2 linked regions of the Callithrix jacchus genome follow. The protein of the gene in region 1 binds, or shares a complex with, the protein of each later gene. Links are inferred from orthologs where the notes say so. Each region holds a gene or a part of one and is shown in the gene's direction. Other genes may lie near its edges.

Region 1 (3,915 bases):
CCTCCCCTAGTCGTGTGGCCTCCTGTTGTTTTTGAGCTTGAAGGGCAGAATTACTCACCCTCAAACCCCGTCAGGGGTCGTGGGGCCTGTAATTTGGGAGCGTCTATGCTAGGGTGGGGCAGCAGATGTCCACAAGGCCTGAGCCTCACAGAGCTCCTGCAGCCTCTGCAGATTAAGGTCTGGTGACGGGAAACACGCACTGAAGATGCTCTAAAGTTGGCAGTCCAGGGCCAATGGTCCCTGAACTACAATTCCCACAATCCATTGGGGGGGGGCGGGGGGGTCCAAGTCAACCAAAAAAATGCAGGCTCTCTTTGAATGCCTCCTGGGAAGTGCAGTGCCATAGCTTTGGGGCGGCACTACACGTTTGCTTCCTTGACCCCATCCATTCAAATTCAGCCAAGCTCCACCAGAACCTCCCTCAAGCTTTCAAGGAGTTCAGGTGACCCACCCAATACAGTCCAAGAGGTCCGGCCTAGAAGAAGGAGGTGTGGCCGGGCGATGCCAACAGGGGCTACCCCCTTCAGATACCTTCGCATTTGCTGGGCAAACGTTCTGTGTCATCGTCCTCTTCCTTCGGCTTCCCAGCCCAAGCCCCGTGCACGGCCAAAAGGAAAAGCAATATTCCCAACCACATAGGTCCCATGACAAAGCGCCATCCACAAACAACCATCGCTTGCTTTCAAACCAACTTCGGGAAGGCAGTGGGTCCTTTAAATGCCCAGGCGGCTGGCGGCAACCTTAAATCCAGCCTGGCAAGGTCGGCGCACGAGCAGAATCAGCTCGGTAGGGGGCGGGGCCTCATTGCTCTGAGTTTCTCCGCCTCCGTTTTGTGGCGCCTCTTCAAGGTCCTGGCAGCCGGGTAGTGAAGGAATAATTTGCAGTAATTCAACCAAGACGGAATTCTTCTTATATGTAGATGTTTAAACAAAATTTTAAAATATAATTTCATTCCGTGAGTCCAGAGAACGTATTCTGGCACGGGGAAGCGGTAGCGATTTGGACTTCCGCTCTGCCAGGACCTGCTCCTAGGAGGGGGCGGGGCCAAGATGGCGCCCAGCGCCGGGTGAGCGGCGTCTTGGCGGCGGCCAGAGTTTTCCTGCTCCCAGCGTTCGGCTGGCGGGGGCGGGTCTGAGTGGTACTCTGGAGGAGACCCTTTGAAGGTCCCTTGTGGGGACTAGAAACAAGACGGTTGGTTGTGTGTCCGTGCTCGTGGGGACCCCGTGTGTGTGTCTGCATTGGAGAGATGTTGCAGGAGATGAGGTGGGCTCTCTGAGCCTCCTTTCGCGCTCCCCGGGGATTTTCGACCTGCTTCTCTGCTGGGATCCCGCTCAAGTTAATCCTCCCCTGGGACGCCTTCCTGCCGCCTCCACTGATCTGAGGAGATCCTGTGACTGTAGCGTGTTTTATGAGCCTTTACTGACAGAGGGTACCGCCGGGTATTGAAGGATTCGTAAGAGTTCGCCAGGGAAGTGGGACACGACCGCCTCTTATAAACGCGGCGCCAGGCACAGAGTATGTCTCGAATAATTGTGTTCCCTATAGATAAGACTTTAAAAAGTTGGGGAGGAGACCAGGGATGGTTTGAAAAGAACCAGTTTCTTCTTCGGCCTCCCTCTTCCCATCCTTCCAGCACAGCCCCACCCTACCACCTGTACTATTCCTGAACAGTATTGATGTTAATCTTCCTAATGTCCAGCTCCAGTGTGCCACTTGACTTTTTTTTTTTTTTCCTTGAGACAGGGTTTCTGTCTGTTGCCCACGCTGCTATGGAACTCCTAGGCTCAAGTGATCCTCCCACCTCAGCCTCTTAAGTAGCTGGGATGACAGGTCCACCATGCCAGGCTAATTTTTCAATTTTTTGCAGAGATGGGGGTCTCACTATGTTAAGCAAGCTGTTTCAAACTCCCATCCTCAAGTGATCCACCTTCCTCTGTCTCCCAAAGTGCTGGGATTACTGGAGTGAGCTACCTTGCTTGGCTCCATTTTGTTGTTTTTTTAAGACTGGAGTCTCCCTCAGGCGCCCAGGCTGGAGTGCAGTGACATGATCTCGGTTCACTGTAACCTCTACCTCCTGGGTTCAAATGGTTCTCCCACCTCAGCCTCCCAAGTAGCTGGGACTACAGGTGGCCACCCCCATGTTCTGCTAATTTTTGTGATTTTACAAAAAAATGGGATCTTGCCACGTTGACCAGGGTGGTCTTGAACTCCTGACCTCTGGTGATCTTCCCACCTCGGCCTCCCAAATTGCAGGCGTGAGCCACTGCACCTGGTCTACTTTGCTTTTAACTGCAGTGTAGGCTCGAAGTTTGGACCTGTGACATATTTTCTTAATAACAGCAATAACTAGTAGTTACCGAGTACCAACATCTCTAAACCTTACAACTAATTCATCTACTTAACAAATATTTATGATGTCCCAGGCTGGGATCCTGGAATACATTAGTGAACATAATAAAGTGCCCTGTCAGCTGGGCATGATGGCTCACGCCTGTAATCCCAGCACTTTGGGAGGCCGAGGCAGGCGGATCACCAGAGGTCAGGAGTTCGAGACCAGCCTGAGGAACATGGCGAAACCCCATCTATACTAAAAATACAAAAATTAGGCCGAGCACGGTGGCTCATGCCTGTAATCCCAGCTACTCGGGAGGCTGAGGCAGGAGAATCACTTGAACCCACGAGGCAGAGGTTGCAGTGAGCCGAGATTGCGCCACTGCACTCCAACCTGGCGCCTGGCGACAGAGCAAGACTCTGTCTCAAAAAAAAAAGAAAATAGGAAAATTAGCCTGCTGTGCTGGCACATGCCTGTAATACCAGCCACTTGGGAGGCTGAGGCAGGAGAATCGCTTGAACCCGGAAGGCAGAGGTTGCAGTGAGCCAAGATCGCACCACTGCACTCCAGCCTAGGCAACAGGAGTGAATTCCATCTCAAAAAAATAAAAAGCAAATAAAGAGCCCTGTCTATATGGTGTGTGGTGGGGGTAATAAACAATAAGAAACGATACAACGAATTAGAAGGTTTTTTTGTTTTTTTGAGATGGAGTCTCACTTTGTTGCCAGGCTGGAGTACAGTGGCTCACTGCAACCTCTGCCTCCTGGGTTCAAGTGATTCTCCTGCCTCAGCCTCCCAAGTAGCTGGGACTATAGGCACATGCCACCACGCCCAGCTAATTTTCATATTTTTAGTAGAGACAGGGTTTCACCATGTTGGCCAGGATGGTGTCAATCTCTTGACCTTGTGATCTACCCGCCTTGGCCTTTCAAAGTGCTGGGATTACAGGCGTGAGCCATTGCACCCAACCCAGATGTTAAATGCTATAGAAAAGAAAAAGTGGCATTCATTCAAAAAAAGAAAAGAAAAAGTGGGCTGCTCCCACTCTGAGGGCAGAGTGCAGAGTTAAATAGGGTGGTCAGGGCAGACAGGCAATCAGGCATTCTGGAAGAACATTCCAGGCAGAGGGAATGGAGTAAAGGCTATTAGACAAGAGTATGCCTGGCAAGTTGAAGGGGCAGCCTGAAGGAATATGTGTCTGGATCAAAGTGGAAGCAGGAAGGAAAGGCAGTCAGAGATGTAATGGGAGAAGGCAAATTTTGAAGGGCTTTGTAGGACATTAAAAGGATTTTATCTTCTTTTTCTTTTTTCTTTTTTTTTTTTTTGAGAAGGAGTCTTGCTCTGTCACCCAGGCTGGAGTACAGTGACATGATCTTTGCTCACTGCAACCTCTGCCTCTCGGGTTCAAGTGATTCTCCTGCCTCAACCTCCCTAGTAGCTGCAATTATAGGCGTCCGCCACCATACCCATCTAATTTTTGTATTTTTAGTAGCGATAGGTTTTACCATGTTGGCCAGGCTGGTCTTGAACTCCTAGCCTCCCAAAGTGCTAGGATTACAGGCATGAGCCACTGTGCCCAGCCT
Region 2 (3,815 bases), on another chromosome or scaffold:
AAAAAACGAAGATGGTCTATATATGCCATAATCATCATTAATTAATTTTCAAAGTTGCTTATAAAAGAGGTGGAGATGTTTATCTTGGCTTCCACTAAGGAAAAGGAGATATATTTTTCCACATCCAGTTTGCTTGGATCCTGGTTGGTAAAGAGGTACCAGGCCATGCAACTAAAATGATTCCATGGCAAGGATATTGCTTGATGCTAGTTGTTCATTTACAGGTAGCTTTTGAAAATGGCTGCCTCTCATTTCACCGGGCTCACAGCTGTTGCTGATGTAATTAAAGATCTAGACACTCAGATAGCTGTAAGTAGGTTTGAGGCTACTGTGGGCAAAACTTGGTGAATGTGCTTCTGATTGTCATGACCCCCAAGCTGACGTCCACAGAGTAAACCTCATGGCTCTAAGATTCAGGAGTCTCAGCTGCTTCAGGCTAGGGTGTCTGCATGTACTTAGATTGCTAACACTCCGAGAAAAATTGCTGTTGACAAAAAGGAGTTTACTTTTAACAACAGCTAAAATTTATGTTTTTGGGGCATACCCCCGACATAAACTTAAGCATGTTTGAAATGCCAAAATGAACTAGTCTGTATTGTTAAGCTTTGTGACTGATTTTTTTAAAGGATGTGATTGTGCCATGACTTATTTGAATTTAACATTATTTGATACTTTAAAAATAATGCATGTAGTACTTAACTATTTTTACAAAGTTCTCAAAAATGTCTTGCTTATTCTAGTTTATTTTTATTTTATTTTATTTTATTTCATTTTATTTTTAGACAATGTCTCACTCTGTCACCTAGGCTGGAGTGCAGTGGTGGTATGATCACAGCTCATTGCAGCCTCAGCTTCTTGGATTCAGGCAATCCTCCTCCCTTAGCCTCCCGAGTAGCTAGGACTACATGCTAAGTGAGTCCAGTTAAGTGGGATTTTTTTTTTTTTTGAGATGGAGTTTCACTCTTGTTGCCTAGGCTGGAGTGCAATTGTGCAATCTCAGTTCAACGCACCCTCTGCCTTCCAAGTTCAAGCAGTTCTCCTGACTCAGCCTCTCAAGTAGCTGGGATTACACATGCCACCATACCTGGCTAATTTTGTATTTTTAGTAGAGACAGGTTTTCTTCATGTTGGCCAGGCTGGTCTTGAACTCCCAGCCTCAGGTGATCTGCCTGCCTGGGCCTCCCAAAGTGCTGGGATTATAGGTGTGAGCCACCATGCCCGGCCCCTAAATGGTTTTTTGTTTGGTTTGTTTGTTTGTTTGCTGAGACAGAGTCTCATTCTGTTGCCCACGCTGGAATACAGTGGCATGATCTTGGCTTACTGCAAGCTCTGTCTCCCATGTTCAAATGATTCTCCTGCCTCAGCCTTCCCAGTAGCTGGGAGGGATTACAGGAGTGTGCCACCATGCCCAGCCAATTTTTTTGTATTTTTGGTAGAGATAGGGTTTCACCATGTTGGTCAGGCTCATCTCGAACTCCTGACCTCAGTTAATCCACCCGCTTTGGTCTCCCAAGGTGCTGGGATAATAGGCGTGAGCCACCACGCCCAGCCCCAGCTAAGTTTTTGCAGATAGGGCTTCCCTATGTTGCCCAGGCTATTCTGTAACTCCTGGACTCAAGTGATCCACTACAGGCACCCAAAATGCTGGGATTACAATGAGCTACTGCACCCAACCCTAGTTTATTTTTGTACGTAAGATTCCTTATTTCATTTACTTTCTTCCTTGTTTCAATTTTGTGGTCAATTTTATTTAACATTTAGAGAAGAGATGGTTTCTAAATGTCAGGTGAAAGCAAAAACCATTCTTCATTCCCTCAATTTTTAACATGTAGGTATTAAATGGTCACCATTCCATATATACTGAAGAACTCTCAAAGTCTAACAGACCTGATTTTACTTGCTTTTTTTTTTTTTTTTTTTTTTGGTAGAGATGAGGTCTCACTATGTTGCCCAGGCTGGTCTTGAACTACTGGCCTCAAGTGATCTGCCCACCTGGCCCTCCCAAAGTGCTGGGATTACAGTTGTGAACCATTGCACCAGGCCTCTTTTTACTCTCAAGACTCATTCTTTATTACAGGTTCTTCTAGAACTAATTCTTATGCTTTTCTTCTTCAGTTAATTGGCCTTGGTCCTCACAGCTCCAAAAAGAAACAGGATCTCGATAAGCTCTATGAGCTGAAGTCCAAAGCTCGGCAGATTATGAACCAGTTTGGCCCCTCAGCCCTAATCAACCTCTCCAATTTCTCATCCATAAAACCGGAACCAGCCAGCACCCCTCCACAAGGCTCCATGGCCAATAGTACTACAGTGGTAAAGATACCAGGCACTCCTGGGACAGGAGGTCGTCTTAGCCCTGAAAACAATCAGGTATCATCCTCTTACTCTTTCTTCCCTGTAGCCACCTCTCACCTGTTATTTCAACCTGTAATACTTAAGAGATGTCCATCTTATATGCTGCCTTTTTCTCTTAGCCGAAAAGGTCTTTTCCGTCTTACGGATTTCTAAGTTTTTTGTTTGTTTGTTTTTTTTAAGGCTAGTCATGTTTGTTTGTTTTAATGTAAGTAGAGACTATATTTGGGCCAAATTTGAGGACCCCAACTCAGGAGACACAGATTCAGTTTGCCCTGAATATATGATCCTCTAACATTCTTTAGCAAATTATCATGTACAGTGTTTATCAAGTTTTACTGTGTTGTATATTGTTGTGTGTATGCATGTATCCATCCATCCATGCCTGTGGTAGGTTTTTTCTTTCATTTTGATAGGTGTTTTATATATATGTTAACTATATAGTTGTTAAATAAAATAATTAATTCATTTTTCCTATGATGGAAATACTCTTGGTTCTAGCCATTCCACCTTCTAGTTCATCCAATTCCTGCCATTATTAATTTTCTGCAGTGATTCTAAAATCTGCTCCCTTCTTTCTACCCATAATTCTGATTTTGCCTCCAGAGCCACAAGAAATAAGTATAATCTCTTTGAATTGGGTTTTGTAGGCTGTGAAGAAAAAAATGAATGAGTTGGCCCAGTATTTCAAGGGAATGAGTGAAGGAACTGGCAAAGGTTAATGAGGGATGGTTGGGCAGACAATCAGGAGATCAGTCTCTTTTGAATATGGAGTCTGTTATAGAAGACAGAATTTAAAATTGTATAGGTAGCGAGGCGTGGTGGCTCAAGCTTGTAATCCCAGCACTTTGGGAGGCCGAGGCGGGCGGATCACCTGAGGTTGTGTGTTCTAACCAACATGAAGATCAAGACTATCCTGGCCAACATGGTGAAACTCCATCTCTACTAAAAATACAAAATTACCTGGGCGTGGTGGCTCATGCCTGTATTCCCAGCTACTTGGGAAGCTGAGGCAGGAAAATTGCTTCAGCCTGGGAGGTGGAGGTTGCCATGAGCTGAGATCGCAACATTGCACTTCGGCCTGGGCAGCAAGAGAGAAATTCCACCTCAAAAAAAAAATATTGTCTAGGTAGGGTTATGGCAGAACATAGTGACCCTGTACTAGTAAGTTTCCATTGGAACTTTCAGGTAATATACAATCTTTGCAGATATTTAATAAAGAAGTAAAAGTATGTAATAAAAATAGTGTATTCTATAGAGTAGTAACTTGGCAGTAAGGGGACAGGATGGGTAGAAAAGGGGGTTAGACTGGGTGGATGACCAATTCTAAGACTTTTTCAATAAATCAAGACATGTAGTGAAGGCTTGAATTAGGTGATTAGGATAGAATGAAGAAGAATAGATAGATATGAGACATCATTAACTTTTATTTATTTTTTAGAGAAAGGGTTTTGCTCTGTTGCCCA

Evidence for each region.
Region 2: TAF6 (region 1) and TAF12 share a complex: the UniProt entries of both Homo sapiens proteins name them as parts of the TFIID basal transcription factor complex. The link is inferred for Callithrix jacchus from reciprocal best matches to the Homo sapiens genes TAF6 and TAF12.

The regions. Positions count from the first base shown.
Region 1 is NC_133503.1:13,465,716-13,469,630, forward strand, and holds the start of TAF6 (transcription initiation factor TFIID subunit 6), read left to right. Parts: upstream 1-1,030; 5' UTR 1,031-1,515; intron 1,516-3,915. Other genes in the region: CNPY4 (protein canopy homolog 4), read right to left, coding at 532-564. UniProt on the Homo sapiens protein: The TFIID basal transcription factor complex plays a major role in the initiation of RNA polymerase II (Pol II)-dependent transcription.
Region 2 is NC_133508.1:65,289,398-65,293,212, reverse strand, and holds part of TAF12 (transcription initiation factor TFIID subunit 12), read left to right. Parts: intron 1-224; 5' UTR 225-237; coding exon 238-309; intron 310-2,115; coding exon 2,116-2,367; intron 2,368-3,815. UniProt on the Homo sapiens protein: The TFIID basal transcription factor complex plays a major role in the initiation of RNA polymerase II (Pol II)-dependent transcription.